7 linked regions of the Oryctolagus cuniculus genome follow. The protein of the gene in region 2 binds, or shares a complex with, the protein of the main gene of each other region. Links are inferred from orthologs where the notes say so. Each region holds a gene or a part of one and is shown on either strand. Other genes may lie near its edges.

Region 1 (4,228 bases), on a different chromosome or scaffold from region 2:
GAGGGCTTTGAAGGCACAGTGAGGACTCCGCGTGGCTCCGAAGGTGAAAGCAGCCAGGGGAGATTTCAGCCTGAGCGTCTGTGTTTTAGACAGCTGTCTGCCGCCGTGGGAGCAGACTGGGGGGCAGTGGGAGAGCAGCGATGGAGCCGCCACCATGATCCATGCAGGGACGATGCTGGACAGGGATGGGGGGTTGCTGGACCTGCCCTGTGAATTGTAGAGAGGTCAGGATTTGCTGGTGGGCTTGGGTGTGTGTGTGTGCGTGCGCATGTGAGAAAGAAGAGGAGAGTAGGGGATGATTGATTGCACTTAGGAGAGAATCAGCTGCCCACATGGTCCTTCAGGAGGTGGGTCCTCCCCCCCCCCGCCCCAGCTACGTCTTCCTACTCAGCTCTGCACAAAGCACCTGTGCCCACCTCAGGGCCTCTGTGCTCTTCCACTTGTCATGCGTGGCTGGCAACTTTTCAGGGCTCAACTCAAAAGTCACCCGCTCTGTGCAGCCACTCCTCCAAACCAAACTATTTTTTTTAAAGAAGATTTATTTATTTATTTGAAAAGCAGAGTTATAGAGAGGCAGAGACAGAGAGAGAGAGGTCTTCCATCCACTGGTTTACTCCCCAGATGGCTGCAATGGCTGGAGCTGCGCCGATCCGAAGCCAGGAGCCAGGAGCTTCTTCCGGGTCTCCCACGTGGGTGCTGGGACCCAAGGACTTGGGCCATCTTCTACTGCTATCCCAGGCCGTAGCCGAGAGCTGGACAGGAGTGGAGCAGCCGGGACTTGAACCGGCGCCCATATGGGATGCCGGCACTGCAGGCGGTGGCTTTACCTGCTACACCACAGCGCCAGCCCCCAAACTAATCTATTTTAATTCTGTTATAGCACTCAGCATTTTCTGAAAAGATCCCTTTATTATTATTATTTTAAAATCGTCTTTCTCCACTAGAACGTCAGCTTCCTGAGAGTAACGACTTGACTTTGGTCGCTGCTGCATTCCCAGTGCCTGGCACATGTAGTCAATACACGAACAAAGGCGTTGGATGAGCCCCCATGTTGTCAGAGACTGGCTTACCCCGAAGAGACGCCCCGATAAGTAGACTCAGACAAGAATCCGCCGCAGATCCTGGGGACATCCACAGACCCCAGGGAGACTCAGAACCACCCGGGAATGGAGAGCCCGGGCTGGGAACAGAGCACCCCCCGGGGAGGGGGAGAGGATGCTCCGGGAGGAGCCCCGCCCCGCCCTGTATCCCCGGCAGCCAATGGGCGCGCGGTCCTCCTGACGCCCCCTGGGACGTGTAGTCCGGGCAGGGGCGCCCTCGGGCGCCGCCGCGCGCCCCTAGACTCCACGTCCCGTCGTGCGCCGGGAGGCGCGGGGATTGGCCGAGCCCCGCCCCCGGCCCGCCCCGCTCCGCTCGCGCCGCAGCCCCAAGAATGAATGAAATCGTAGCGCGCTGGGCGGCAGAGCGGGCGGCGCAGGCCGGGCTGGGCCCGCGCGCGGCGGCAGCGGCGCCCCGGGCCGGAGGCGGCCCAGCCGAGCGGGCCATGGCTACCGCCATTCAGAACCCGCTCAAGTCGTGAGTGTCCCCGCTGTCCCGACCCGGGTCCGGAGTCCCCGCACCCCAGCCCTTCCTCCGCCCTCCCTGGGGCTGGGGAGGGGGACCCAGCGCGCGGATGGTAGTGGAATGGGGGTCCCCCCACGCGCCCCCGTGCCTCTGAGGACTGTCACCCTTTGCCGCCCCTCCGGGGGCTGGGCACGGGAGCCCCTCCTGGGTCGCGGGGGCGCCTCTTCTTTGTCGCTGTCAGTGAAGGAATGTGGCGCGGGCTGGGGGTGGGGGCTTCCCTCCCCGCCTCCATCTGCTGCGCGGTGTCTCTGGGGGCGGCGGGCCCGCCCCGGAGCGGGCTGGACGCGCGAACGCCCAAGTCCGGACCTGAGTCTCCGGGGTTCCCACCACCCCCTCGCTCCTCGCCCGAGCATCTTTCTCTACACCTCCTCCGCCTTCTCCGCGACCCCGGCGCTGCTGGCCTCGGGGTGGGGGCTCGGATGTCGGGGGCCCCCGGTCGAGTCCCCTTTGCTCCCCGGGTCCCCGGCACCCAGAAGCCCCGACGCCACGATCGCCTGGGGCCGCGGCTTCCCTTCTCTCCCGGCCCGTGCACCTCCAGCCCGAGCGTCTCGGCTCCCCTCGGGAGGGCTGCGCCTCCGTCTCGGGGGAACCCCTGCCTTCTCCACGCCCGCCTCCCTCCGGCTTCCTCTCGGCCCCGTGGCTTGGGATAAGGACGCCCGGGTCCGAGCCTGGCGCCTGCTGTCCCTCGCCCTCTCCACCTCTCTCTGGTTCCCTCCTCGGGATCCCGGACTCCTGGGTCCTGGCGCCCCCCACCCCCTTTCCCAGGCGGTGACAGCAGCTCTGAGTGGCAGGCGTGCGGCCGCTCCCGCCCTCTCTCCCCTCCCCCTCCTCCCGGGCCTGGTGGAGGAGGCGGAGGGCGAGCGCCTGGCGGCGCCGCACAAAGGGGCTGGGGCTACCTCCCCCACCCTGCCCCCAAGCCCCAGCGCTGGCTGCCTTGACCTTGAGCGCGGAGAGCTGGGGGTGGGCGAGTGCACCCCTCCTAATGAGGACTCTGTATGGTGGCTGGACCACTGGCCCTCCAGTTGTTGGCCCCTGGTTTCCGGGTTGGGGGTGCCAGGTGGCCGAGCAGGGTTTGTGCAGGGGCAGGGACTTTGGCAGCACGCACCTGCTGTGCGAGCAGAGTCAGTGCGAGGTGGTGCGTGGGGGTGGCAACCGCTTGTTCCTCTCCTGCCCCAAGGCATGCACACAGACAGACCCAAGAGGGACACCCCCAAACTGGCAGGCAGGGATGGGGCTCCTGCGCAGTCATGGGATCCACAGGCCCTCAGGGCCCTGTCTCTGGCCCTGGCTCAGGCCCTCGGAGGAATACTAGGAATAGGGTGCCACTCCTTGCAGGTGCCTGGAGGCCAAGGTCAGCCACAGGGGCCAGGCCAGTGCCTTTCCCCTGGGGAGTTCAGAACCCAGCTCAAGCCATTAATTCTCCCCCACCCCCACGCGCCTCAGTGTTACCATCTGTGAACTGGGGATTACAGCGGTTCTTAACTCCCGGGAGTGAGGCCTAGCGAGGCTTAAACACGGTGATCACTGGGAAGCCATCGGTGCGGAGCCTGACCCTGGCTAAACGCAGTGATGATTAGTCCAGTCAGCACTGGTTCATCAGTACTGGTCAGTAACGATTTCTCCTGGGGCCAGCACCCACTTAGGGCTGGGAGCTCGTGGGAGGGGAGGGGTCTGAGGGTGACTGAGGTCAGGCAAGGGCCAGCCTGGGTCTGTGGGCTCAGATCCCGCTGGTGGGCCAGGACCTCTGGGAGGTGACCTGGTCTCTACACCCAGGCCACACTGGGTCAAACTGAGTGTGCTGTGTCGGGGCCGCAGGCGGCTGGTCAGGCTGTGGCTGCAGGTGTGTGGAGCAAGAGTGCTGAGCCTGGGTCTGGGGGGCAGGGCTCATGGTGGGTCAGGTGTCTGGTGGCCACTAAAGGAGCCTGGAGGCCAGAGTGAGCTTGGGGTGCCAGCGCGTCCCACTTAGTCCTCTGAGCAGATGTGAGTCAGACACCCGACCCCTCCCGTCGGCGGCTGGTGGAGGGGCGGGTCAAGGCCCTACCTGGCTTAGATGGAGGAGAGTTTATGGAGGGACTAGAAGTGTGTGTGTGTGTAGGTGACCACGAGTTTCGGAGGCCTTGAGTGGATCTCGCTCAAGGAGGAGGGGACCAATTGACAAAGGAGGTGAAGACTGGCCCGCCCCGTCTGTGCGCTGGAGCGCCCCCTAGTGGACAAGGGGTGTGCAGGCGTGTTTATTTCCCTCAGCCTCTCAAACTAGGGTGCTCTTGAAGGGGGGATGCGTTTGCGTGTGCGTGTGTGTGTGTGTGTGTGTGTGGAGAGAGAGACAGAGAGAGAGAGAAACGGGAGAATGTGCCTTAGTGTGTCAGCTCACCTTCTAGGCATTCCTTAGGGTCGATTGAGTGTGTGTGTGTGTGCATGTGTGTGTGTGTGTGTGTGACCCAGGAGGTGAGGGATCAAAGTCCAGGTGCATGAATCCTTCCCTAGTGGCCTGGCCCAGCAGTCCCCAGGGGCTGAGGGCATGTAAGGTCACTTCCCTGTGACCACCTGACTCCTCATCTGAAAAACAGGTACGAAATAGGATTAACTCAGGACAGAGCTGTGCCTG
Region 2 (3,500 bases):
CACCTGAGGGCCCTGCAAGGAGCCACCGCAAAGGCCCCAAGTCCCGCCTTCTCCGTCCATGAGACACACCCCCAAATCCAGCCCTTCCTCCAGCTGGTCCACACGACAGCACTGCCACACCTCGGCAGGGGCGCCCTCGGGCCCAGAGCCCTCCTGGCAGGCCGTGGGGATCCACCTGCCCCACACGAGGTGCTCGGACCTCCCATCTCGGGGGCCTGGGACCCGAGGCACTTGCTGGACGCCACATGCAGCATGCTGCCACCCTCCTGTCCCCAGACCGTGCACCCTGGGTCACGCCTGCCCTGCAGGCCTCTGGTGGTGAGGCCTCCTGTCCACCCCACGCCCTTGCCTGAGTCCTGCCCTTCCCTGCACTCATCTTCACATAAAACCCCCTCCTGTGTTTCACCCGGGCTATCTGAAGCCCAGGAGGGCAGGGGCCGAGTTCCGTCTCCTGCAGCGCCCTCTTCCCCCACGGCCCAACAGACTACTGGGGGGTCTCCACTGCTCCCCCTGTGCCCCCTGACCCAATGTGCAGGGCAGCCGACGGGCCTGGGTCCCGTGGCCCCTTCGTGGTCAGGTCTGAGGCAGGGGTCTCTGCCCCCAACCCACGCCTGTTTTCCCCTTTGCCCACCTCTCACCCAGCCCCTACTGGACCGGGCGCGAGCCAGCTGAGCGGGCCGGGCTGGGGCCGGGACGCACCATGAGCCTGCGCATGCGCTCCTTCTCGATCCGCTCGTTCTCCTTCTTCTGCTCCCGCTCCGTGTTGGCGTGGTACGTGGCCACCGCCTTGGTGAGCTTCTGGATCTTGCCCGTGACGGATCTGTGGTACTCCTTGAAGTCCTTGGCGTGCTGCAGGATGCTGTTGAGGTACTCCTGTGGGTGACGCCAAGGGGGCGCTGACCGCTCGGGGGACGCCACTGGCAAGGGCGCTCCCCCGAGGAGGACCACGCGCTCATCGAGACGTAAGCGCAGCGAGACTGTGCCGCTGCCTGCTAGGAGGCCCGGCCCCGTGTCCTGACAAAACCCAGTGCATATTGTAAGAATATGTCCAAGATCAGTCCAGAAAACCTGGAGGGCCAAGAACGCCTGTTCTAGCGGGATTTTTTTTTTTAAATTCTGAGAGCTGTAAAATATGCTATGTGTGCCCAAACAGGGGAACGGGGGACAGGCTGAGATGGAATACAAGGTTGACATCTGCCGTGTTTCAGCAGTACCTAAACACACACCAACGTGCGGTAATTTTTACCAACACAAAGCTAACTCGGCAGACAGGGGCGACCGTCACAGCCGAGACGAGGCCGCGCGCGGCGCGGGGGCGCCGGCCGGGACGCACCTGGTGCTTCTGGCGCCGCTTGCGCTCCTGCTCGATCTTCTGCTGCTTCTCCAGCTTCTCGGTGATGCGCGCCTCGCGCAGGGACTGGCGCTTGCTGCGCTTGTAGGCCTTGGCGTTCAGCGCCGTCTCCAGCGCTGTGTCCCTCCGCATGCACACCACCACCTCCTGGCGCAGCTTCGGGAGGAACAGGAGACGCTGGCACCGTGCACGCCACACCACGCCACGCCACGCCACGCCGGTGCTGCCGCCTCCGAGACCAACAGCCCCACCCCGCCGGCTCACTCCCAGAACGACGGCACCTGAGACCGGACTGTGAGTCCGTCACTGATGCCCCTCGGGGCCCGCATCAGCAGGACGTGGGAGAAGGAACCCCAGCACCCGACGTGGGAGGTGCTGGGCTCAACGCCCATTCCGGGTCATCTCTAAAAAGATGCTCAGGCACCGATCTGTATGCAGAGAGCGGATGGCAGGAGCCACCGGCAGGCGGCACGGAGCAATGACCATCTGGAGCCCAGCAGAGGGCCCTGGCGTGCCTCAAGCCTGCAGTGGGCCTCCCACAACACACAGAGGTCCTTACGGACCCCCAGAAGACAGCACCCCTTGGAGAGGGGCCGCTCGAGTCTCATCCCCCACCGGGCAACCGTGCCAGAGGGAAGCCCCCGCTTAGGGAAAGCCTCAAGGGCAACCCCTCCCACCACCCACTGGGCCGCAGGGCAGGCACAGGGGACCAACAGCGCCCTTGCGTGAGTGTGAGTGTGCGCACACGTGCGAATGGCCAGGGAGCAGCGCCCCAGCGCCCAGGGAGCAGCGCCCCAGCGCCCAGGGAGCAGCGGCCCAGCACTCAGGGAGCAGCCCCCAGCACTCAGGGAGCAGCCCCAGCACTCAGGGAGCAGCCCCAGCCCCCAGGGAGCAGCCCCAGCCCCCAGGGAGCAGCCCCCAGCCCCCAGGGAGCAGCCCCGGCCCCCAGGGAGCAGCCCCGGCCCCCAGGGAGCAGCACCCAGCACTCAGGGAGCAGCACCCCAGCACTCAGGGAGCAGCCCCAGCACTCAGGGAGCAGCACCCAGCACTCAGGGAGCAGCCCCCAGCCCCCAGGGAGCAGCACCCAGCACCCAGGGAGCAGCACCCAGCACTCAGGGAGCAGCACCCCAGCCCTCAGGGAGCAGCCCCAGCCCCCAGGGAGCAGCCCCAGCACTCAGGGAGCAGCCCCAGCGCTCAGGGAGCAGCACCCCAGCGCCCAGGGAGCAGCCCCAGCCCCCAGGGAGCAGCCCCAGCCCCCAGGGAGCAGCCCCAGCACTCAGGGAGCAGCCCCCCAGCACTCAGGGAGCAGCCCCGGCCCCCAGGGAGCAGCCCCAGCACTCAGGGAGCAGCCCCAGCGCTCAGGGAGCAGCACCCCAGCCCTCAGGGAGCAGCCCCCAGCCCCCAGGGAGCAGCCCCAGCCCCCAGGGAGCAGCCCCAGCGCTCAGGGAGCAGCCCCAGCCCCCAGGGAGCAGCCCCAGCCCCCAGGGAGCAGCCCCAGCGCTCAGGGAGCAGCACCCCAGCCCTCAGGGAGCAGCCCCCAGCCCCCAGGGAGCAGCCCCAGCCCCCAGGGAGCAGCCCCAGTGCTCAGGGAGCAGCCCCAGCCCCCAGGGAGCAGCCCCAGCCCCCAGGGAGCAGCACCCCAGCCCTCAGGGAGCAGCCCCAGCCCCCAGGGAGCAGCCCCAGCCCCCAGGGAGCAGCCCCAGTGCTCAGGGAGCAGCCCCAGCCCCCAGGGAGCAGCCCCCAGCACTCAGGGAGCAGCCCCAGCACTCAGGGAGCAGCCCCAGCCCCCAGGGAGCAGCCCCAGCACTCAGGGAGCAGCCCCAGCCCCCAGGGAGCAGCCCCAGCACTCAGCCCACCTGTCTCTGGAAGTTCAGCAGCCTGAGGGCCTTGAGCTCAATGGTCGCTTTGGTTCGCAGATCCCCGGCCAAGGACCCGGGGAGGTTTTCAAGTTCCTGGATTCGGTGTGCGATGCGAGCCTGCAGCCTGGGGCGGGGAGAGGCAGTGAGAAGGCGGCCCCTCTGCAGGGCCCTGCCTAGGAAGCCCTGGGCAGCCTCCCAAGGACGCATCCTAGGCCGCAGCCCTGAGCCCTGGAGTCTCAGCAGTGGGAGCCAACCTCCGGTCAGGAGGCCCGAGGCCCCGCCCCCGCAGG
Region 3 (3,943 bases), on a different chromosome or scaffold from region 2:
CAAAGGGGCAGTGGCTATTTTGGATCTGCCCTGCCCTGGCATGCAGTTGCCTAAGCTCTTCAGTCAAGATGAAAGGGATGGGGTGAGATGGGGTGATTTAAATATGTGTCTCTATAGAGCTTTGGGAATGTGATTTTAAAAAATGTCTTGAAATTGTGATCAGCAAGAGGATTTTTTTTTGAAGTTTATGTGGTTATAATATTATGCCTCACTGAAGCATTCTTGTTTATTCTAATCCCATCAAAGTTGTTCAGTTGCTCATTTTTTTCTTGAGATAATTCATTTAAAAAGCAATACTCTATGGACAGTCTCACTTCCTGTAGTGTCCGCTTACTCAGATTGCATGCATTCCCTCTGCCATCAGGACGAGTCACCTCTCCATGGACTCCACCTGGACGAGGCTCCATTATTACAGCTGGGGAGACTGAGGCCTTCATGCTAAGGAAACTCACCCATGGTAACCCAGCTGGTAAGTGGGGGACTCCACAGCCTGCACCCCTAACCGTACATAAGGCTGCTCCATTTTAAAATTGAACATTTTCCAAAACTGTTCATGAACCCTGTCTCCTTTAAACACATTCCTAAGCCCCTTGGCTTTTGAACATCTGGCCAAAAAAAAAAAAAAAGTTCTTTTGTCTATGAAATAAAATCCAAAGTTAAAGTAATAACAGCTCACTGATGTTGCAGAATTGATAAAAGGTAGCTTTGTAATAATTCTGCTTGTTCAGAACTCACGTGTGTATTGACAGAGTTAAAATGATATTCCAGTGGATTACAAAAAGTCAAGGCTATCTTTTTTTTTAAATTACTATCTTTAATGTATTATTTTTCAGTCCAATCAGTACAAGATGTAACATAAGTAAGTTCTGGATTCAAATCTCTGACAGCGAAGACAGATTGATCTGCCATTTTCCAGTGGGACTACACTGGCTTCTGCTCTGGGCTTTGACAGTTAACCCTATGTCCACTCTCTCATACGCAGTATGAATTTGTTTTTCCCTCCCTCTCCCATTGGATCGTAAACCTTGTCGGGAGCAGGCGCCACATTCCTCACTTCCCTTACCAGACTGCGTGCATTAAAATAAGGCCGTTGTCTGCTAATGGTTGCGTTTTTGATATCTCAAAGTCGTTGGGGGAAGTTCTGCCTGATAACTTGAAACTCGCGCTTCCGGTGTGAGAAAACAGTGCTGGCCTGTTCAGATGCCCGGGCTCATCTCGGCCCAAGGACGCGCTTTGGGTCCAGCCCCTCGCGCAGGGAGTGCCTGCGCTTAGCACCGAAGCTGGTTTGTGCAGACGGCCGTCTGGGCCAGGGCGCTGCTGCGCCGCCGGCCAGGCACGGGGAAGGGGTCCCCTGACCAACACCCCGACTCAGCCGCCGGCGGCTCATCCGCAGCCCTGCTGGGGTATGGAGTTGAGCTTGGCAAGTTCTGGGACGTCTTACTGATGTTCGGAGATCATAGGTGAGCCGCCCCTCGCCCCCACCCCGCGACCTCGGCCGCTGGACCGGACTCGGCCGCGTGGGGGTGGGGGGCTGGCGGTCCGCAGAGCCCGGGGGCCGGTCCCGCGCCCCGCCTGCACTCCAGCCTCCCGCCTCCGTCGGGACCCGGCCAGGACGGGACTTCTTGCTGACTCCGAGCGGACGCCTCTGGCCACAGCGGATTACTCATTAGCAAATTCTTTTCGCCTTCTATCTAAGTAGTGAAAGGTGACGCCGGAGTCGCGAGCGCCGCTCCCGGAAAGGGACTCGGACAACACCCGGCCCGCGACGTGTGCCTCGTCCCCGGCTTCCCGAGGGGCGGAGAGCCGGGGCGTCCAGCTGGGGCCCCCAAGCCTCCGGCGGGCGCGGATACGGGTCTCGCCGCTCTGGGAGTTTCTGGGGGCGGGGGCGCGGCGCAGGGTGACCCCCGAGCCTTACGTAACGGAAAGCCCTGGCTGGAGCCCGCAGCGAGGCTGACATGGAGACACTCCAGGGACAGGGCAGCTGCTGTCCGGGAGTCGCCAGCAGCGGCGGCGGCGGTTCCAAGAGACCGGGAGAGGAAGGCGGCCGAGATAAAGAAAACACTTGGGGAACCAGAACGTGCCCAAGCCGCAGCACCCGGAGCGCTTAGCGAGCGGCTGGACGCGTGCGGTGATTTGCTGGGCGTGGGCCACGGCTGCCCTCCAACTTTGCCCCGGAACGCGGGGATGGACCCCGCGGGGGCTGAAGAACGGCGGTGTGCGCGGCCGATGAATGGGAGCCGCTGGGCTGCTGGCAATGTGTAAATATTTCCACCCTGGAGCGCAAACTCTCTGCAGTTATTTTAGGAAAGTAGGGACCCGAAGGAAACTCGCCCGCTCTCCCGGAGCGTCTCCTCTCGGCACCGTCCCGGCGGGAGCGGCTCGCGCGGTACTGCCCCTTTAAGACCTGCTAGCTCTCGGGCTCTACAAAAGGGAGTGACCTCTGGGCTTTGACAGCTCCCCTAATAACTACCACCGCGCAGGCCCCGCCCACCCGGCGGCCAGCCGCGCCGATTGGCCGGCGGGCCGGTATCCCGTGCTCTGATTGGCCTGCCGCTTCCCCTGAGCGAACCTTTAGAACTCTGAGACAGACAATATTCTGTTACATTGTAGCAAAATGGCGACTGTCATTCACAACCCCCTGAAAGCGTAAGTACGACTCAAAAATGTACATATTCCGCGTGGTTTCAATATGAAAAAAAAGGCGCCTTCCGCGCGCCCAGCGCGGCCGGTGCACGGCGCGGGCAGGCGCCTCCCGCTGCGGCCGCGGCTTCTCTCTTTTCTTTCGGCTCTTACTTCTTCATCTTCTCTATCCCCCCCCACCCCCGCCAGCGCGCAGAAATGTCAGGAGATGCAATTAACAAGAAGAAAATTGTTACATTTGCGTTCCGCTTAATTGGAGGATCCGGAGAGAGACTGGCAGCTAGAGGCTCCGGCGGCCGGCGAGCCGGCGCTCGCGCGCGCGCGGCGGCCGGGGGGTCGCGGGCAGCCCGGGGACGGCGCGGTCCCCCGAGCGCCCAGCGCGGCCGGGCTGCGAGCGCGGCGCTGGGGGCGGCCGGGCCGGGGGCGAGCGGCGGACCGGGGCCGCCTCCATGCGCTCGGCGGAGCCCGGCGCCTCCGGAGCCCGCGGCCCCCGCCCCGCGGCTCTCGGCCAGCCGCGGCGGCTCGGGAGTTTGCAGGGTGCCCGCCGCCTTCCGATCGCCGGAGGGGAGTTTGTGCAAACCTTCCGGAGTTGAGAGAGCGCCGCGGGGGCGCAGCGGGGCCTGGGAGCCCCCGGGGCCGGGGAGGCCCCCGGCGGGGACTGCGCTCCGGGCGGCCGCCGGACCGTGTTCGGTTGCCCCTGGCTGGGGCCCGTTCCCGACTCCGGTCCATTCGGGGGGTGGGTCCGGGGGCAGGGACGCCGCGGGTCTCCTGAAAGGTGCTGTCGCCTGCTCTGGGGAGCTGCCGAAGCGGGCGGAGGGGCGGCCTGGGGCTCCCGGCTCTAGCGAGGGGCAGGTGCCTGCGGCTGCCGCGCGACACTTTGAGCGGACGCCCGGATCCGGGACGGCGGGGGCCGGGCTGGGCAAGCCCCCGCGGAGGCCAGTCCTCAGGTCCGACCGCCTGCTTTCCTCCTCCTCCTCCTATTCGTCCTGGCTTCCTTCCTTCCTTCCTTCCAGTCCGTGGAATTGTTAAGCCGCCAAGTCCGCTCGCGACCGCAGAGCCGGGGGCGGCGGCCTTGGAAACTAGTGTCGCTGGGCGAGGGGTGCCCGGGGCAGGGGCTGGGGTCGGCGCCGCGCTCCTCCGCCCGGGACCTCCCCGCGCTGCGGGGGGCCGCCGGCCAGAGGCAGGTGAGGTGCTGGTGGGTGGGGGACGCGGAGTGCGTGGTGGGGGTTGACCCTGGTTCTCTGAACTCCGCGTATGCGCGCCCACGCCCCCCCCCTTCCCGGCCCCCGCCTCCTCGATTGCC
Region 4 (4,123 bases), on a different chromosome or scaffold from region 2:
TTATCAATCTGAATAAAAGCACTGTATGATTATTTGCATATAGTTTGATTATCAATGTCTGAAGCATAAACAAGATTGATTTTAGAATACATGTATATAGATACATAAAACATTTATATTTGCATATGAAAACTTTAAAATGCAACATATGTGGTTAATACGTATAATTAGTATGTATTTGAATATATAGAGAAAAGCCAGGGAAAAAAATGTCAAAAGGCCCACTAAAAGAGATGTAGTGTTCTCTTGGCACAAACTGATGATTTGGCATGACTTCCTCTTACAGTTCTGTTATTGTCTCTTACCCGTTTTCCAGTTGTTTGGACAGAATGGCAATTTGTTGTTTCTTCTCCAAATAACGACCCTTGGGTGTGCGCCTGGCTCCCCGCCCCCACCAGTCACCAGTAGCTCCGTCTGGCTATCTGTCTCTAGTCAGGTAACATGCTTACACTTGGTCAAGCATACATAACTAGTGCATCCGAAACAAGCCGAAATGCTTGCTATGGAAAGCTGAGGAATGAAATGATTTTGGAAAACTATACTCTACCAAAATCGTGTATCTCATTTCTGGGAGTGTGACCCCTGGAGAGCTGGAGAGTACTTCTTAAGAAGTACTGTTACTAAAGATACTCATAATGATACTAGGTGGTAAACTCATAATAAAAACTGTTGCAATACACAACTGTGTACTATTTCTGCTTTTACATTAGATTGGACTGTTTTATAGTTATTGATCTTGTATTTATATTACATTTAACATCTATTGAGTTTTGTTTCATGTTACTTGGAAAGAAACTTTCTCAAGAGGGTTCTCTGTGCCCGTTACCCTCTGAAATAACGCTGGAAGGTGCTACTACATCACCGGAGGGGGGGGGATTCGACTTTGGACAAATAGTGGCATCTGCGTGGGAAAGCTGTGTGCCGCGTGACCCTCGGCTGCGTGTGCCCGAGACAGAGAGGACACAGGGGTGCGAGCTCTCCCCACAGACTCCTTGCACAGGAATCTAGGGTGCCTTAAAAACAGCCACGTAGCCATTATCTCTGGGGCAGGTGCCGGCATCGGTGAGCATCCATTGAGTACCTGCTGTGTACAGGGCTCTGTGCTCTTCGAACGCGGCTAACCCTCCCCGAAAGCCCTTCCTGAATTCTGCAGTTGGAAGAAGTTGTGGGAATCACGCCGATGGCCAGGAATCAAGGCAGGGAGGCCAACGTTCTGGAAAATTACATAACTCCTGTGAGAGCCAGCGCTTTTGCAGATCGCCCAAATATTTTCTTTCCTCCGTGGGCTCCTCGTCACCTCGGAGGCCCACGGACAACTTCGTGCCCCAGCCCTTCTTCCCTCTTTTGTCTGCTCGCCACAGACTCGTTTTTCCACCTTTGGAGCGTTCCTTTTAGACGCGAAAACAAACACGCGAACGCCCGGTTGGCAAGGAGACGGAGGCACGAGGGGAAAGTGCAGCTCCGGCCGCCTCTCGCCGCCGCGCTCCGAGCGGCTGCCCAGCCGGCCTTGGCCCGGGCCTGCGCGCGGCCCCCGGCCCCCGGCCCCCGGCCCCCGAGGCTGCGCCGGCACGGGCGGGCGGCTGCGGCCCGCGCCGAGTCCAGTCCGCGTTTTGCGAGTGCACAGGAGCAATCAGAGAGAAGTGGGATAATAGTTGCTCCAGCTCGCTCGGCTCCTTCTCGTGCCATGCTGGGCCCGATAGGCTCAGCCGGTCGTGTATTTACCCATATCCGGGTTAGAGAGGAAAAGAGAAAAGTTTCGTTTAAACCTGAACTAAAAACTTTCACCGTGAAAGCACACAGCGGGAGCAGGCCCAGACCGTAAGGCGTGCCCCGGGCCCGGCGCTCCGGCGGGGCCTGCGGAGGGGGAGGGGGCCGGCGGCTTCCCGGCGGGCCGCGTGGATGCGCGCAGGAGGGGCCGCGGCCTGAAAAGTGGGGGTATTGTCTCCCCCCGCCGCCCGCCCGGCCTCGCCACGCCGCGGCGATCATGGCCGCGCGGGCAGCAGCGGCGGCGGCGGCGCGGGCGCGGGCGGGCAGCGGCGAGCGGCGGGCGCCCCCCGGGCCGCGGCCGGCGCCCGGGGCCCGGGACCTGGAGGCGGGGGCGCGCGGCGCGGCGGCGGCACCGGCGGCACCGGGACCCATGCTGGGGGGCGGCGGCGGCGGCGGCCTGAATAATGTGCACCACCACCCCCTGCACCCCCGTCACGAGCTGAACATGGCCCATAACGCGAGCGCCGCGGCCCCGGCCGCCGCCGCCAGCACTAGCAGCGCCAAGAGCGGCGGCTCGGAGGCGGCTCTCAAGGAGGCTGGAAGCGCCGCCGCGCTGTCCTCCTCCTCCTCCTCCTCCGCGGCGGCGGCGGCGGCGGCGTCCTCCTCTTCCTCCTCGTCGGGCCCGGGCTCGGCCATGGAGACGGGGCTGCTCCCCAACCACAAACTGAAAGCCGTTGGCGAGGCCCCCGCCGCACCGCCCCACCACCACCACCACCACCATGCCCACCACCACGACCACCATGCCCACCTCCACCACCACCACCACCATCACCACCACCACCACGCACTACAGCAGCAGCTAAACCAGTTCCAGCAGCAGCAGCAACAGCAGCAGCAGCAGCAGCAGCAACAACATCCCATTTCCAACAACAGCCTGGGCGGCGCGGGCGGCGGCGGCGGCGCGCCTCAGCCGGGCCCCGACATGGAGCAGCCGCAACATGGAGGCGCCAAGGACAGTGCCGCGGGCAGCCAGGCCGACCCCCCGGGCCAGCCGCTGCTGAGCAAGCCGGGCGACGAGGACGACGCGCCGCCCAAGATGGGGGAGCCGGCGGGCGGCCGCTACGAGCACCCGGGCCTGGGCGCCCTGGGCGCGCAGCAGTCGCCGGCCGCCGTGCCCGGGGGCGGCGGCCAGGCGGCCGTCTCGGAGTTTAATAATTACTATGGCAGCGCTGCCCCTGCTAGCGGCGGCCCCGGCGGCCGCGCTGGGCCTTGCTTTGATCAACATGGCGGACAACAAAGCCCCGGGATGGGGATGATGCATTCCGCCTCAGCCGCCGCCGGGGCCCCCAGCAGCATGGACCCCCTGCAGAACTCCCACGAAGGGTACCCCAACAGCCAGTACAACCATTATCCGGGCTACAGCCGGCCCGGCGCGGGCGGCGGCGGCGGCGGCGGCGGAGGCGGAGGAGGAGGAGGAGGCAGCGGAGGAGGAGGAGGAGGAGGAGGAGCAGGAGCAGGAGCAGGAGCAGGAGCGGGAGCTGTGGCGGCGGCGGCCGCGGCGGCGGCAGCAGCAGCAGCAGGAGGCGGCGGCGGCGGCGGCGGCAGCTATGGGGGCTCGTCCTCGGGGTACGGGGTGCTGAGCTCCCCCCGGCAGCAGGGCGGCGGCATGATGATGGGCCCCGGGGGCGGCGGGGCCGCGAGCCTCAGCAAGGCGGCCGCCGGCGCGGCGGCGGGGGGCTTCCAGCGCTTCGCCGGGCAGAACCAGCACCCGTCGGGGGCCACCCCGACCCTCAACCAGCTGCTCACCTCGCCCAGCCCCATGATGCGGAGCTACGGCGGCAGCTACCCCGACTACAGCAGCCCCAGCGCGCCGCCGCCGCCGCCGTCGCAGCCCCAGTCCCAGGCGGCGGCGGCGGCGGGGGCGGCGGCGGGCGGCCAGCAGGCGGCCGCGGGCATGGGCTTGGGCAAGGACATGGGCGCCCAGTATGCCGCTGCCAGCCCGGCCTGGGCGGCCGCGCAACAAAGGAGTCACCCGGCGATGAGTCCCGGCACCCCCGGACCGACCATGGGCAGATCCCAGGTAACCCCCGCGCCGGCCGGGCCTGCTTCCGCCCGGCGGCCTCGCCGCGCCGCGAGCCCGAGTTTCTTTCTTTGCCGCGTACTTTTCCCCAGTTTTCTGGTTGGGGGGCGGCGGGGGCGCGGCGCCCAGGGCCATCTTCGCGGGCGGCCGCCTCCCGCCGAGGTCGGGCGCGCGAGCGTCCGCCCGCCGAGTCCGGGCCGCGCCGTGCGGGCCGCGCAGGGCTTCGCCCGCGGCCGCGGGCCGGGCCGGGCGCTCCGGTGCCCGGTGGACCCGCAGCCTCGCCCCGCCGGCTCTCCCGAGGCGCTGGGGTGGTGACGGGATTCCGAGACAGCGCCC
Region 5 (2,559 bases), on a different chromosome or scaffold from region 2:
GCCAATCCTGTCTGCTTTTCACAACGTGTGTGAGCTCAGTGTCACTCCTTCTTCGCAAGGTCACACACTCACTTCTGTAATCTCTCATCTCTGTGACAAAGCACGTGAGTGTTGCGATTCGGGGACCGGGAACATCTGTGGTTCTGCATTTTTAGAAAGCAGCTGCTGTAATGGAGTAAGTCAAGCTAGATGGAGTCACTTTTCATCCTGTGAAACTCGGCCCGTGGTGTGAACTTTGATTTTATTCCTCTCCAGCTGTTCTCTGTCACATGAATCTTCCGAAAGCATGAATGAAGACAGGGATGCCGTGCAGGCTTCCTTAGATGGGAAGGCAGCACGGGGAAGACGCTGAGGGGCCCTGGCCACTTCCTTTATGCTGCACTGATGTGGCCTGGGTGTGCAGCTAAGCAGTTTCTGTTCTAGCTCCTAAACTCGTAAAACTTTGGATCAGGAATCTTCACTGTTACCTTGAGACTGATGACTTTCTGTATTTCTTTCCAGATTACTAAAGAGACATGAAAACAACCTGTCAGTACTTGCTATAAGTAACATGGAAGCTTCCTCCACCCTTGCCAAATGCCTTTATGAACTGAACTTCACAGTTCAGAGCAAAGAACAAGAACAAGACTCAGAAATGCTGCAGTGAAACAGAATTCCACTTCGAGTGGGGACTGCAAGTCAGATACATTTCACACACTGTTACTGAAGAAAGCACCAAGTCTTAATGGAACAGAGACCATGGAATGAATTATTTTATCTCCTCCCTTGATGTTGAGAGGAAGTTCGTATTCTGATCTTTGAGCGAATCCCTTTTGTTCTCTGTTTGAAAAAAATCTAAAAAGAAAAAAACTGCTGTGGGATTGTCAATCAGCTCATCTGCAGGATGCCTCTCAGACCTGAAGTCCTGATGGGAACCGGTATGATCAGAATTCAGTACCATCCACATTGGAGTAGACATGGGATCTTGTAAAATCTTCACGAGCAGATGAAATAGAAGCATTAAATATTTTTATCTATATCCAAAAAGGAGCACATTTTTATATTTACTAAACAGTTTAAGCTGGTTTGAATAATTAAAAAGTTTCAGCACACTTATACCCCCTGGTCTCAGAGGGGGCCACCAATATCTAGCTATGGATTGTGTGTTTTGTTTAGAAATCAGTAGCTTGGTTTTCTTACTTGAGCCAATATATTTTCACTTATTTATTATCATAAAAATTTACCAGTCTGAATAGATCTTGTAAATATTTGTGAATAGAAGGAACACCTTTCATGCCGCTGCAGCCACTGGAGATACATTCTGTGGTGTCCTAGAAGCATTACCGATAGGTTCTCACGTTTTCTAGACTTCTGTCAATTGTAAGTAATTGTGATATATTCTGCGCAGTGGACGAATGTTCTTCAATCTTTGTAAATACTTCTGCAAGGTACTGATGCTGTAAAGTCAGACAGTTTTGTGGGACTGTGATTTTTTTTTCTTTTTGTATTATACACCTTGTAGAACTCATTTTGCTGGCTGAAAAGAGTATGGAGTAATATATCTCATGTCATTTTTGTAGAAGAAAAACTCTTTGAAGGTATTTTTTGGTTTTTCCCTAACATGTATCCACTGTAAGCGTTTGTCATGTTTAAGCTCAGAGCTTGGACAGAAATTTTTGTATTTGTAAATTGGTTTGAATACATGGGATTTTATACAGGCGCTCTCCTGTGCTGTAAATGCATTCTGTGCAGTACACTTTCTCCACTCCTTTTCTATCTTCCTAGAGGTGGGGTTTATTGTCTAATTCTCCATTCTTAATACTGTACCACATTCCTGCTCAGATACTGCTCACTTCCCCAAATTGTCTTTCTCCCTCCCAGCGTGAAATGTACCCATTTATAACTGCCTATTGCCTGTTCTATTAGCATCCAAAAATGTGGAAGGCCTCCCAACCACGATTTCTGCTGTGTCCTTAGGATGTGCAGTTAAAAAAAATATAGACCTAACAGTTTCTGTTATAGAATGGCTTTATTTACTTTGGTGACTGTTTATAGTTTTTAAATAAAAGACTGAACATTTTCTTGAGTCCTTCATTTCTGAGTATGCTAAGCTATTTTTTAAAAACCTATAAAGAATCCTAAGTTGAGCTGAAGGCGAGGCCCAAACGGTCACCTACCTATTGTTTCTGTTGAGTGTTAGGGAGCAGAGGAGGGAGGTCCTCTACATGACACATTTGCATGAAATACATGGGAGATGGCCCTGAGGTTGATTTCTGTGTCCTGTAATGCAAAGCAAACCCAAATAATAGCCTGAGTGGTGCCGTTAGTGCTGAATATGCGCTTTTTATAAATTATTGGATACTGCACACTTGCCTGAAATCTTATTGATACTGTGTTTCTTCAGAACCACAGTATAAAACAAATCTTCAAACTGAGTATGGGGGCAGATTCTTTGAGTGAAAGGACATGCAAATTTTTAAATTTTGGATTCGATTGATATCGAATACTCTGATTTCTCCCTGAAGGGGGTTCCTGGCACTGCACCCTGCCAGTTCTAAAATGATCGCTTTGAGAAACCTC
Region 6 (3,500 bases), on a different chromosome or scaffold from region 2:
GAGCCCGCAAGCCTGGGCAGGGATGGCTGCTGGGGATTGGCCACACACCGTGGGCCTGTTGGGTCCTGCCTGGAGTGTTCCTAGGGGCTGCCTGCTACTGCATGTTCTTCCTGGGCCCAGCACCCACGTGGTTGGCCTGGCATATGGTTCCAGGTGGGACGGGGTAGCATCTCTGAGTCTGTTCCAAAAACCCAGCTTAATCCCCAAGTGTGAGTGTGCACAGGGACAGGAGGGCCTTGGGAGTCTGCTGCAGGCCGCCGTGCCCAGCTGTGTGCCCTGCACAGACACCATTCCTCTGCCCCTCAGCCTCCTCTTCTGCCCTGGAGCTGTGGGCGCCATTCATTGTGGCCTGAAACAAAGGCCCTGGGGCTATGCTCAGGATGCCCGGTTTGAGATGGGAAAGAAGTAGACAAAGGACTAAGATCTGTGAAGAAAACAGGTGGACAGTGGGGAGAGGGCTGGTGGGGAGCAGAAGTCTCAGGACTTGGCACCCCAGCCACAGCCAGGAGACTGAAAAGAGGCTGCATATGCCCAGGTGAAGGGAAGAACATTCCGGTAAGCGGAAACTGATGCAAAAGGCTCAGCCGCACAGGACTTCCTGGATGCCGGCAGGAGTTGGATGCTTTGACTTCTCAGAAGGGCAGCAGAAGTCCCCAGGAGGGTTGGGCTATGAGAGCAGTGGCTAGTTCACCATGAGGCTGCCCACCTGCCACCGTGATCTTCGTCTTGCTAGAGACAAGAGTGAGTGGGCAGGTACTCCATGACCTGCTCACCCAGCAGAACACTGGACAGCAGGGGAGGAGCTCACAGATGTGATGCTGAGGGAGTGAAGTCAGTCCCAAGGGGTCCCTCCTGCGTGATCCAGTGATGACCAGTTTCAGAACAGGCACAACTGACCAGGGAGTGGGGAATCAAGGGACATGGGTGTGGGTGGGAGCTCCTGGGTGCCAGCTTCCCACGGACCCACTTCCCAGGTATTCCCCAGGTGTACATGCAGCGCCTGGGCCTCTCTGTCACCTGCCCACAGGGGTCTACTTGCATGCTGCTCTCCCCCTTGGGTCTGGCCTGTCACCTGGCCAGGTTGGCACACGGTGGGGGTACATCTGGGAGCATGCTTGGTGAAATGATTTTGAGAGGGACGTAGACAGTGGACCAAGATAGGGGTTCATGGATGTCTCTGGTGAGGGACACTTGAACTGAGCCCTGCCTGTTAAAGTCACACAACGGTGGCAAGCAGCAGGAAAGAAGGCCCCAGCCAGCATGGGGGATGGGGATGGAGATGAGGTGGACCCAGGTACCCTCAGGGCCTCCCCAAGCATGACTGCCCAGCTCTTACCTAGAGCCCCTCACAGCAGTCAGCAGGTTTATGGGGTCAGCCGTTTGCAGATAGAAAGTTGGAAGGGCAAGGATCAGCTCCAGTTCTCAACTCTTTGAGTTGTGGGTAGGCTCCACCCTGGGTCTGGGGCTCCAGCGTGGTCTGTCACACCTCCCAGCCACCTCCCTGGGCTGGGGGCGGTGCTGCCTGCTCTGACTTCTCTTCTGGTCCCTGCCATAGCTGAACATCCACGTGGGAAACATCTCCCTGGTGGACCAGTTTGAGTGGGACATGTCGGAGAAGGAGAACTCGCCAGAGAAGTTTGCCCTGAAGCTGTGCTCGGAGCTGGGGCTAGGCGGGGAGTTTGTCACCACCATCGCATACAGCATCCGGGGACAGCTGAGCTGGCATCAGAAGACCTACGCCTTCAGGTAGGATCGGGCACAAGCTTCTCTCTCCCTCTCCTGCAAAACCGTTTTGGGGAAAGACTTCTCCAGAAGCGCTGACACCTTGGGACTTTGCCTCGATTCACAGTGTAGGCGGACTCTAGTCTTGGCAGGGCTCCCCCGGCACAGCCACAGAGGTCAGGGATGGGAAGTGCTGAGGGTGCAGACTCGGTGCCCAGTCAGTGTGGCCTTGAAGTTCCCACCCCTTGCAGCCCCTGTCCCAAGTGCTAACTCTGAGCTGCCAAATACAGGCCAGGCCATCCCCAGTCACGAGTGTCAGGAAGGGAGGCAGCTCACCCTGTCCCTGCCTCCAGTGTCAGGCTGGATGCACAGTGGCCATGTGACCAGAACACTCCAGCTCAGGGGCCTGTGGGTCAGGGGAGGCCTTCCGATCCCAGGGAGCTCAGTGAGTGGGGAATGAGAGTGGTTTTTGTCCTCCTCCAGGGCTGCAGGAGCAGGGAGGGGCCTGTGGCATGGACCCCTGGCTCAGAGCGCCTTTCTTGTTGGGAGTGCCTGGGGTGGGGGACGAACGTCAGAACGGGATCTTGGAGTTGAGTCTGCTCAGTTGACTCCTCAGGGGCACCATCCGACAACACAGGGGCTCATCTCAGCTGTTTTCCAGATGTCTGTCTCAGGGCTTCCCGTAAGTCTGAGTGAGGGAGCAGGAACGGAGGCACACCCACCACCCCATGCTAGGCCCCGGGCCTGGAAAGCAGCTGAGCCCCTCGGGGCGCAGTGCCTGGGCACATCCGTCACATCCGTCACCTGCACTGACCCCTCCTGCAGCTGTGCGGGCGAGTGGTTCTGCTTCACCAGGGGCCAGCCCAACGAGCTGAGGAAGCCCACCTATGGGTGCAGCTGGTCAGAGTCTGGGCTGGCTCTGAGGTCCTGGAGGCGGCGACGTCACGCGGGCCCTGGGAGTGACGTCAGTGCCCAGCAAGCACCTCCTCTGCCTGGTGCTAGATGCTGTGAGAGGCGACCTTCTCCTGGGTCTGCAGCAGCTGCCCCGCCACAGTCAGGACTCAGGAGGCAAAGGCCCCGCGGCCTCTTGATCCCAAGCTCCCTGGGATCGGAAGGCCTCCCCTGACCCACAGGCCCCTGAGCTGGAGTGTTCTGGTCACATGGCCACTGTGCATCCAGCCTGACACTGGAGGCAGGGACAGGGTGAGCTGCCTCCCTTCCTGACACTCGTGACTGGGGATGGCCTGGCCTATATTTGGCAGCTGAGTCAGCACTCGGGACAGGTGGTCCTGGCGTCCACCAGCACTCAGCTACTTTCTGCTGTGGCCCCCGGGCGACCCGAGCCATTGGCCTAAATTCCTTGCCAAGCTCCTGTCCATCTGCTCTTCGCAGAGTGGCTCCACAGCAGGCTCCCTTGGGAGTCCCTGGTGGTGGCAGGTTGGGACTTACAGTCAGGCCCATCCTTTATCTCAGTGACCATTTAATGAATTCCAGCTGCGGGGGCTGGAAGCAGCACAGACTCCTGTCCCTCTGCGGTCTCCAGTGCTGAGTTTGCAGGTTTCAAATCCTTGGCCTAAAAGGCCAGGCCACCCTCTTGGGGCCCAGGGCGAGTGCACGTGCCCTGCATCACAGCCAGGCAGGACAGGGACCTGCCCGTGGGCCTGCAAGGTGCTCCCAGTGCCTCCTCTCGCCTCAGGAGGGCTGGCCTGGGTCCTCGCAGTCAACCAAGCACAGGGCCCAGCCTGTTCTGTGTGCTGTGTCTGGGCAGCCAGGAAACT
Region 7 (3,500 bases), on a different chromosome or scaffold from region 2:
GCCCCACCAGGGGGCGCCCATGGGCCCCCCGGGCTCACCGTACATGGGCAGCCCCGCCGTGCGACCCGGCCTGGCCCCCGCGGGCATGGAGCCCGCCCGCAAGCGAGCAGCGCCCCCGCCCGGGCAGAGCCAGGCCCAGAGCCAAGGCCAACCGGTGCCCACCGCCCCCGCGCGGAGTCGCAGGTGAGTGGGGGGGGGGGGGGCGCGCGAAGGGGGCGTGCAAGGGGGGCTGTCAGGACCCGCGGGAACCAGGTGGGAGAGTGGCGGGGATTGGAAGAGGCGAGGAAAAACGCTAAGCAAGGAGCAAGTCCTCCTCCGAGGAGCTGGGCTTAGGGGACACTGGTCTGGTTCTTTTGTGTGCCCACGGTCGAGACTGGCTGCGGCCATCGGCAGCCAGTGGCCCTTCCCTGCACGCGCCCCGCGCCCTTCTTGTCTTCTGCTCAGTGCACCTCTCCACCCCTTAGGCTCCGGGTGATGCTCCGGTCTGGTGGGGTAGGGCGGGGCTGACAGTAGGGCTGAGGGCAGAGCCTTAGAGCCGGGCTTCCCACAGTGTAGTTCCCCCGGGGGGCACCTTCCAGCAGTCCCCTGGCTGGCTGTCTCAAAGCGCTCCAGATCTCAGTCGGAATCCCTAGCCGTGGGGGGTGGGGCCTGGGGAGCTGCTCTGGGGGCGGCTCGTCCCAGGTAATTTGTAGACATCCAAAAAGACTCTTCAGAGTTGCCGTTCTGTTTTCTGGACCGGGTCTGCCCCAAGCCACCAGGGCCAGCACACCTGCTTGCCTGGGCAGCTGGTAGCACCCCAAAAGTTCCTGCTGGCTCCTGGCAAGAGTGATACCCCTCTAGGTTTCAGTATTTAGCCAAATGCACATGCTTCCTTTTGCACGACAGATGGGTTTCTATAAAAGGTGTAATGTCAATTTTTCCTCATTATTAAATATTATTTATATACATCAAGGAGAATTCACCGTTTATGGGAATCTCATGAATTCTTCTGCAGATTGAATTACCATGTTGTACATTAGATAATAATTCCATGATTTATCTTTTCTAAATGGAGAGTTTCACATAGATCATTTGTTTAAAACAGATGAGACCTTTAATGAAAGTCCCTTGCCTAATGGCTTTCTGGATAGGAAAGGGGCAGTGGTTGAGATTACCACGTGGGGGCAGTATGGAGCCGTTCTCTTGGCTGCATTTGAATCTCCTGACCCGCCAAGGTTTTGGGGGGGGGGGGTGCTTTTGGGAGTCAGAAGCAGCTGGGCAGGTCAAGGAGAGTGCAGACCCCAGCGCTACCTGTCCACAGAGGACCAGTTAGTATGACCCCAGGTTGAAGTCATGCCCCCACAGAACTGCATACTCTGTGGGTCCCTAATGAGTGTGGTGTGTCCTTTGCCCTGGTGGCTGGTGGGCCAAGGGCCCAAGCCACCCCCTGCCCATCAGTGTCCCCTTCAAAGCCCAAGGTGACAGGGATACAAGTCCTCAGTTCCAGAGGTAGGGGGTCCATCTCTCCCCCTCCCTCTGAGCTCAGGCCACCCTGGACATGCACACCCTGCTTTGCAGAAAGCCAAGGTCCTCCAAATCCAGCTTCCCTCCCTGCTGCCCAGGTTTTCTGGAACATTTCTGCTGCTCCCATGTTTGGGCAGCACCTTCCCCGTCCCCACCCCCACCTCTCCCAGGCCAGAGAAAGCATGGATCACCCCACTTCCCAAGAGAGGCCAGAGCACCAGCTCCACACACCACTGCTGCCGCCCTCGGGCGGGCAGACAAGCCGGCTGTGGGAACCCCAGCCAGGCAGGCGGAGATGTCGGGATAATTTAGCAGGTGGCCTCCTTACTCCCAGATCTGTCACCATGGTAACCTGTTTTTTTCTTTAAAAAATGTACAGTGCCAAAAGGAGGAAGATGGCTGACAAAATCCTCCCTCAAAGGGTGAGTGCCTTTCACAGCAGCCCCCAGCCTGGCCCCCAGCCTTGGCTGCTCCACCCTCCTTTCCCCCCCTCCCAATCCGGTGCTGCCTCCCCTCCCCCTTCAGGAGCAGAGCCTCAGCGGCACAGTCACTTTCACTTTTTGTTTCAAAAGCTCATTAAGAAGTGCGGCTTGGGGTGGGGGCTGAGGGAGGAGGTAGGGCAGAGGGGGAGGAACGAAGCCCTGGGGTGGAGGGGTATAGAACACTGGGCCTGAGGTTCAGGGGGCTCAAACCCAGTGGAAGGAAGACATGAAAGGCGTGTGACAAAGAGAAGACTGAAGCTGGGGGATCAGAGGCTACCAGATGGAGTGCAGGGAAAAAAAGGTGACCAGAAGAAGGGATCCTGGCTGAGCTGGGTATGGGGTAACTTGCTTAAGACACCACATGGGGGGCTAGTTAATGCCAGGGTGGAGGCGAGCAACAGTGTCCCCCAGCTGTCTCCCAAAGGAAGCGAATGCCTAGTGGAAAGACAAGATGAGAAAAGGTTAGGGGCTCGTGCCTGCTGGGCTCCAAAGTAGCCCCCTCCTCCCGGGGGGGGACATACCTGGGTCTCACTAGGGGGTGAGGCATTTTTCTTTTTTTTTTTTTTTTTAGGTTTATTTTATTTATTAGAGAGAGAGAGAGAGAGAGGTTTTCCCATCTGCTGATTCACTCCCCAAATGGCCACAATGGCCAGAGTTGAGCTGATCCGAAGCCAGGAGCCAGGAGCTTCCTCCAGGTCCCTCCCACAGGTGCAGGGGCCCAAGGACTTGGGCCATCTTCTACTGCTTTCCCAGGCCATAGCAGAAAGCTGAGTGGGAAGTGGAGCAACTGGGACTCGAACCAGCGCCCATATGGGATGTTGGCACTGTAGGCCAGGGCTTTAACTCACTACACCACAGCACTGGCCCCGGGGGCATTTTTCTATCCCACATATCAAGGCCCCTGCTTGGGGATAATGGAACCTAGGGGAGAGGTCTAATTCGCACTCTCCCAAGTCCATGTCCTGAAACCAGACAACTTCCCTCCATGTGTTACCCCGGGATCACACAACACACGGTGCAAGATTGGCCGAGCCCCTGATCCCTGTCTTCTCCTCTTCCTCTTCCAGATTCGGGAGCTGGTCCCCGAGTCCCAGGCTTACATGGACCTCCTAGCGTTCGAGAGGAAACTGGATCAAACCATCATGCGGAAGCGGGTGGACATCCAAGAGGCTCTGAAGAGGCCCATGAAGGTGCCTTAGTTTGGGGGGTAGGAGGGCTCCAAGCACCGCGCCAGGATGGGGCAGCAGGGTGGCCTCAGGGCTGGGGCACATAGCCTCCGCTTGGCACGACATTCTGTTTCCACAGCAAAAGCGGAAGCTGCGCCTCTATATCTCCAACACGTTTAACCCTGCAAAGCCCGATGCGGAGGATTCCGACGGCAGCATTGCCTCCTGGGAGCTGCGGGTAGAGGGGAAGCTCCTGGATGATGTACGTCCTGGCCCAGGTCTCTCCAGGTGTCCTGGGGTGGGTACGGGCTCAGCCGAGGACTGCTGTAGATGTTTGCACTGAGGGTTT

The links.
Region 1: SMARCA4 (region 2) and DPF1 share a complex: the UniProt entries of both Homo sapiens proteins name them as parts of the neuron-specific chromatin remodeling complex. The link is inferred for Oryctolagus cuniculus from reciprocal best matches to the Homo sapiens genes SMARCA4 and DPF1.
Region 3: SMARCA4 (region 2) and DPF3 share a complex: the UniProt entries of both Homo sapiens proteins name them as parts of the BAF complex. The link is inferred for Oryctolagus cuniculus from reciprocal best matches to the Homo sapiens genes SMARCA4 and DPF3.
Region 4: SMARCA4 (region 2) and ARID1B share a complex: the UniProt entries of both Homo sapiens proteins name them as parts of the neuron-specific chromatin remodeling complex. The link is inferred for Oryctolagus cuniculus from reciprocal best matches to the Homo sapiens genes SMARCA4 and ARID1B.
Region 5: SMARCA4 (region 2) and ARID2 share a complex: the UniProt entries of both Homo sapiens proteins name them as parts of the SWI/SNF-B (PBAF) chromatin remodeling complex. The link is inferred for Oryctolagus cuniculus from reciprocal best matches to the Homo sapiens genes SMARCA4 and ARID2.
Region 6: SMARCA4 (region 2) and SMARCB1 share a complex: the UniProt entries of both Homo sapiens proteins name them as parts of the BAF complex. The link is inferred for Oryctolagus cuniculus from reciprocal best matches to the Homo sapiens genes SMARCA4 and SMARCB1.
Region 7: SMARCA4 (region 2) and SMARCD3 share a complex: the UniProt entries of both Homo sapiens proteins name them as parts of the BAF complex. The link is inferred for Oryctolagus cuniculus from reciprocal best matches to the Homo sapiens genes SMARCA4 and SMARCD3.

The regions. Positions count from the first base shown.
Region 1 is NC_091449.1:16,351,900-16,356,127, forward strand, and holds the start of DPF1 (zinc finger protein neuro-d4), read left to right. Parts: upstream 1-1,428; 5' UTR 1,429-1,432; coding exon 1,433-1,575; intron 1,576-4,228. UniProt on the Homo sapiens protein: May have an important role in developing neurons by participating in regulation of cell survival, possibly as a neurospecific transcription factor. Belongs to the neuron-specific chromatin remodeling complex (nBAF complex).
Region 2 is NC_091447.1:66,652,800-66,656,299, forward strand, and holds part of SMARCA4 (transcription activator BRG1), read right to left. Parts: intron 3,335-3,500; coding exon 3,208-3,334; intron 1,508-3,207; coding exon 1,334-1,507; intron 874-1,333; coding exon 700-873; intron 1-699. UniProt on the Homo sapiens protein: ATPase involved in transcriptional activation and repression of select genes by chromatin remodeling (alteration of DNA-nucleosome topology).
Region 3 is NC_091451.1:19,026,746-19,030,688, reverse strand, and holds the start of DPF3 (zinc finger protein DPF3), read left to right. Parts: upstream 1-1,143; 5' UTR 1,144-2,614; coding exon 2,615-2,646; intron 2,647-3,943. UniProt on the Homo sapiens protein: Belongs to the neuron-specific chromatin remodeling complex (nBAF complex).
Region 4 is NC_091436.1:10,839,573-10,843,695, reverse strand, and holds the start of ARID1B (AT-rich interactive domain-containing protein 1B), read left to right. Parts: upstream 1-1,323; 5' UTR 1,324-1,984; coding exon 1,985-3,787; intron 3,788-4,123. UniProt on the Homo sapiens protein: Involved in transcriptional activation and repression of select genes by chromatin remodeling (alteration of DNA-nucleosome topology).
Region 5 is NC_091440.1:136,658,280-136,660,838, forward strand, and holds the end of ARID2 (AT-rich interactive domain-containing protein 2), read left to right. Parts: intron 1-501; coding exon 502-646; 3' UTR 647-2,059; downstream 2,060-2,559. UniProt on the Homo sapiens protein: Involved in transcriptional activation and repression of select genes by chromatin remodeling (alteration of DNA-nucleosome topology). Required for the stability of the SWI/SNF chromatin remodeling complex SWI/SNF-B (PBAF).
Region 6 is NC_091452.1:30,760,124-30,763,623, forward strand, and holds part of SMARCB1 (SWI/SNF-related matrix-associated actin-dependent regulator of chromatin subfamily B member 1), read left to right. Parts: intron 1-1,555; coding exon 1,556-1,746; intron 1,747-3,500.
Region 7 is NC_091438.1:22,584,119-22,587,618, forward strand, and holds part of SMARCD3 (SWI/SNF-related matrix-associated actin-dependent regulator of chromatin subfamily D member 3), read left to right. Parts: coding exon 1-183; intron 184-1,882; coding exon 1,883-1,925; intron 1,926-3,052; coding exon 3,053-3,175; intron 3,176-3,290; coding exon 3,291-3,449; intron 3,450-3,500. UniProt on the Homo sapiens protein: Involved in transcriptional activation and repression of select genes by chromatin remodeling (alteration of DNA-nucleosome topology).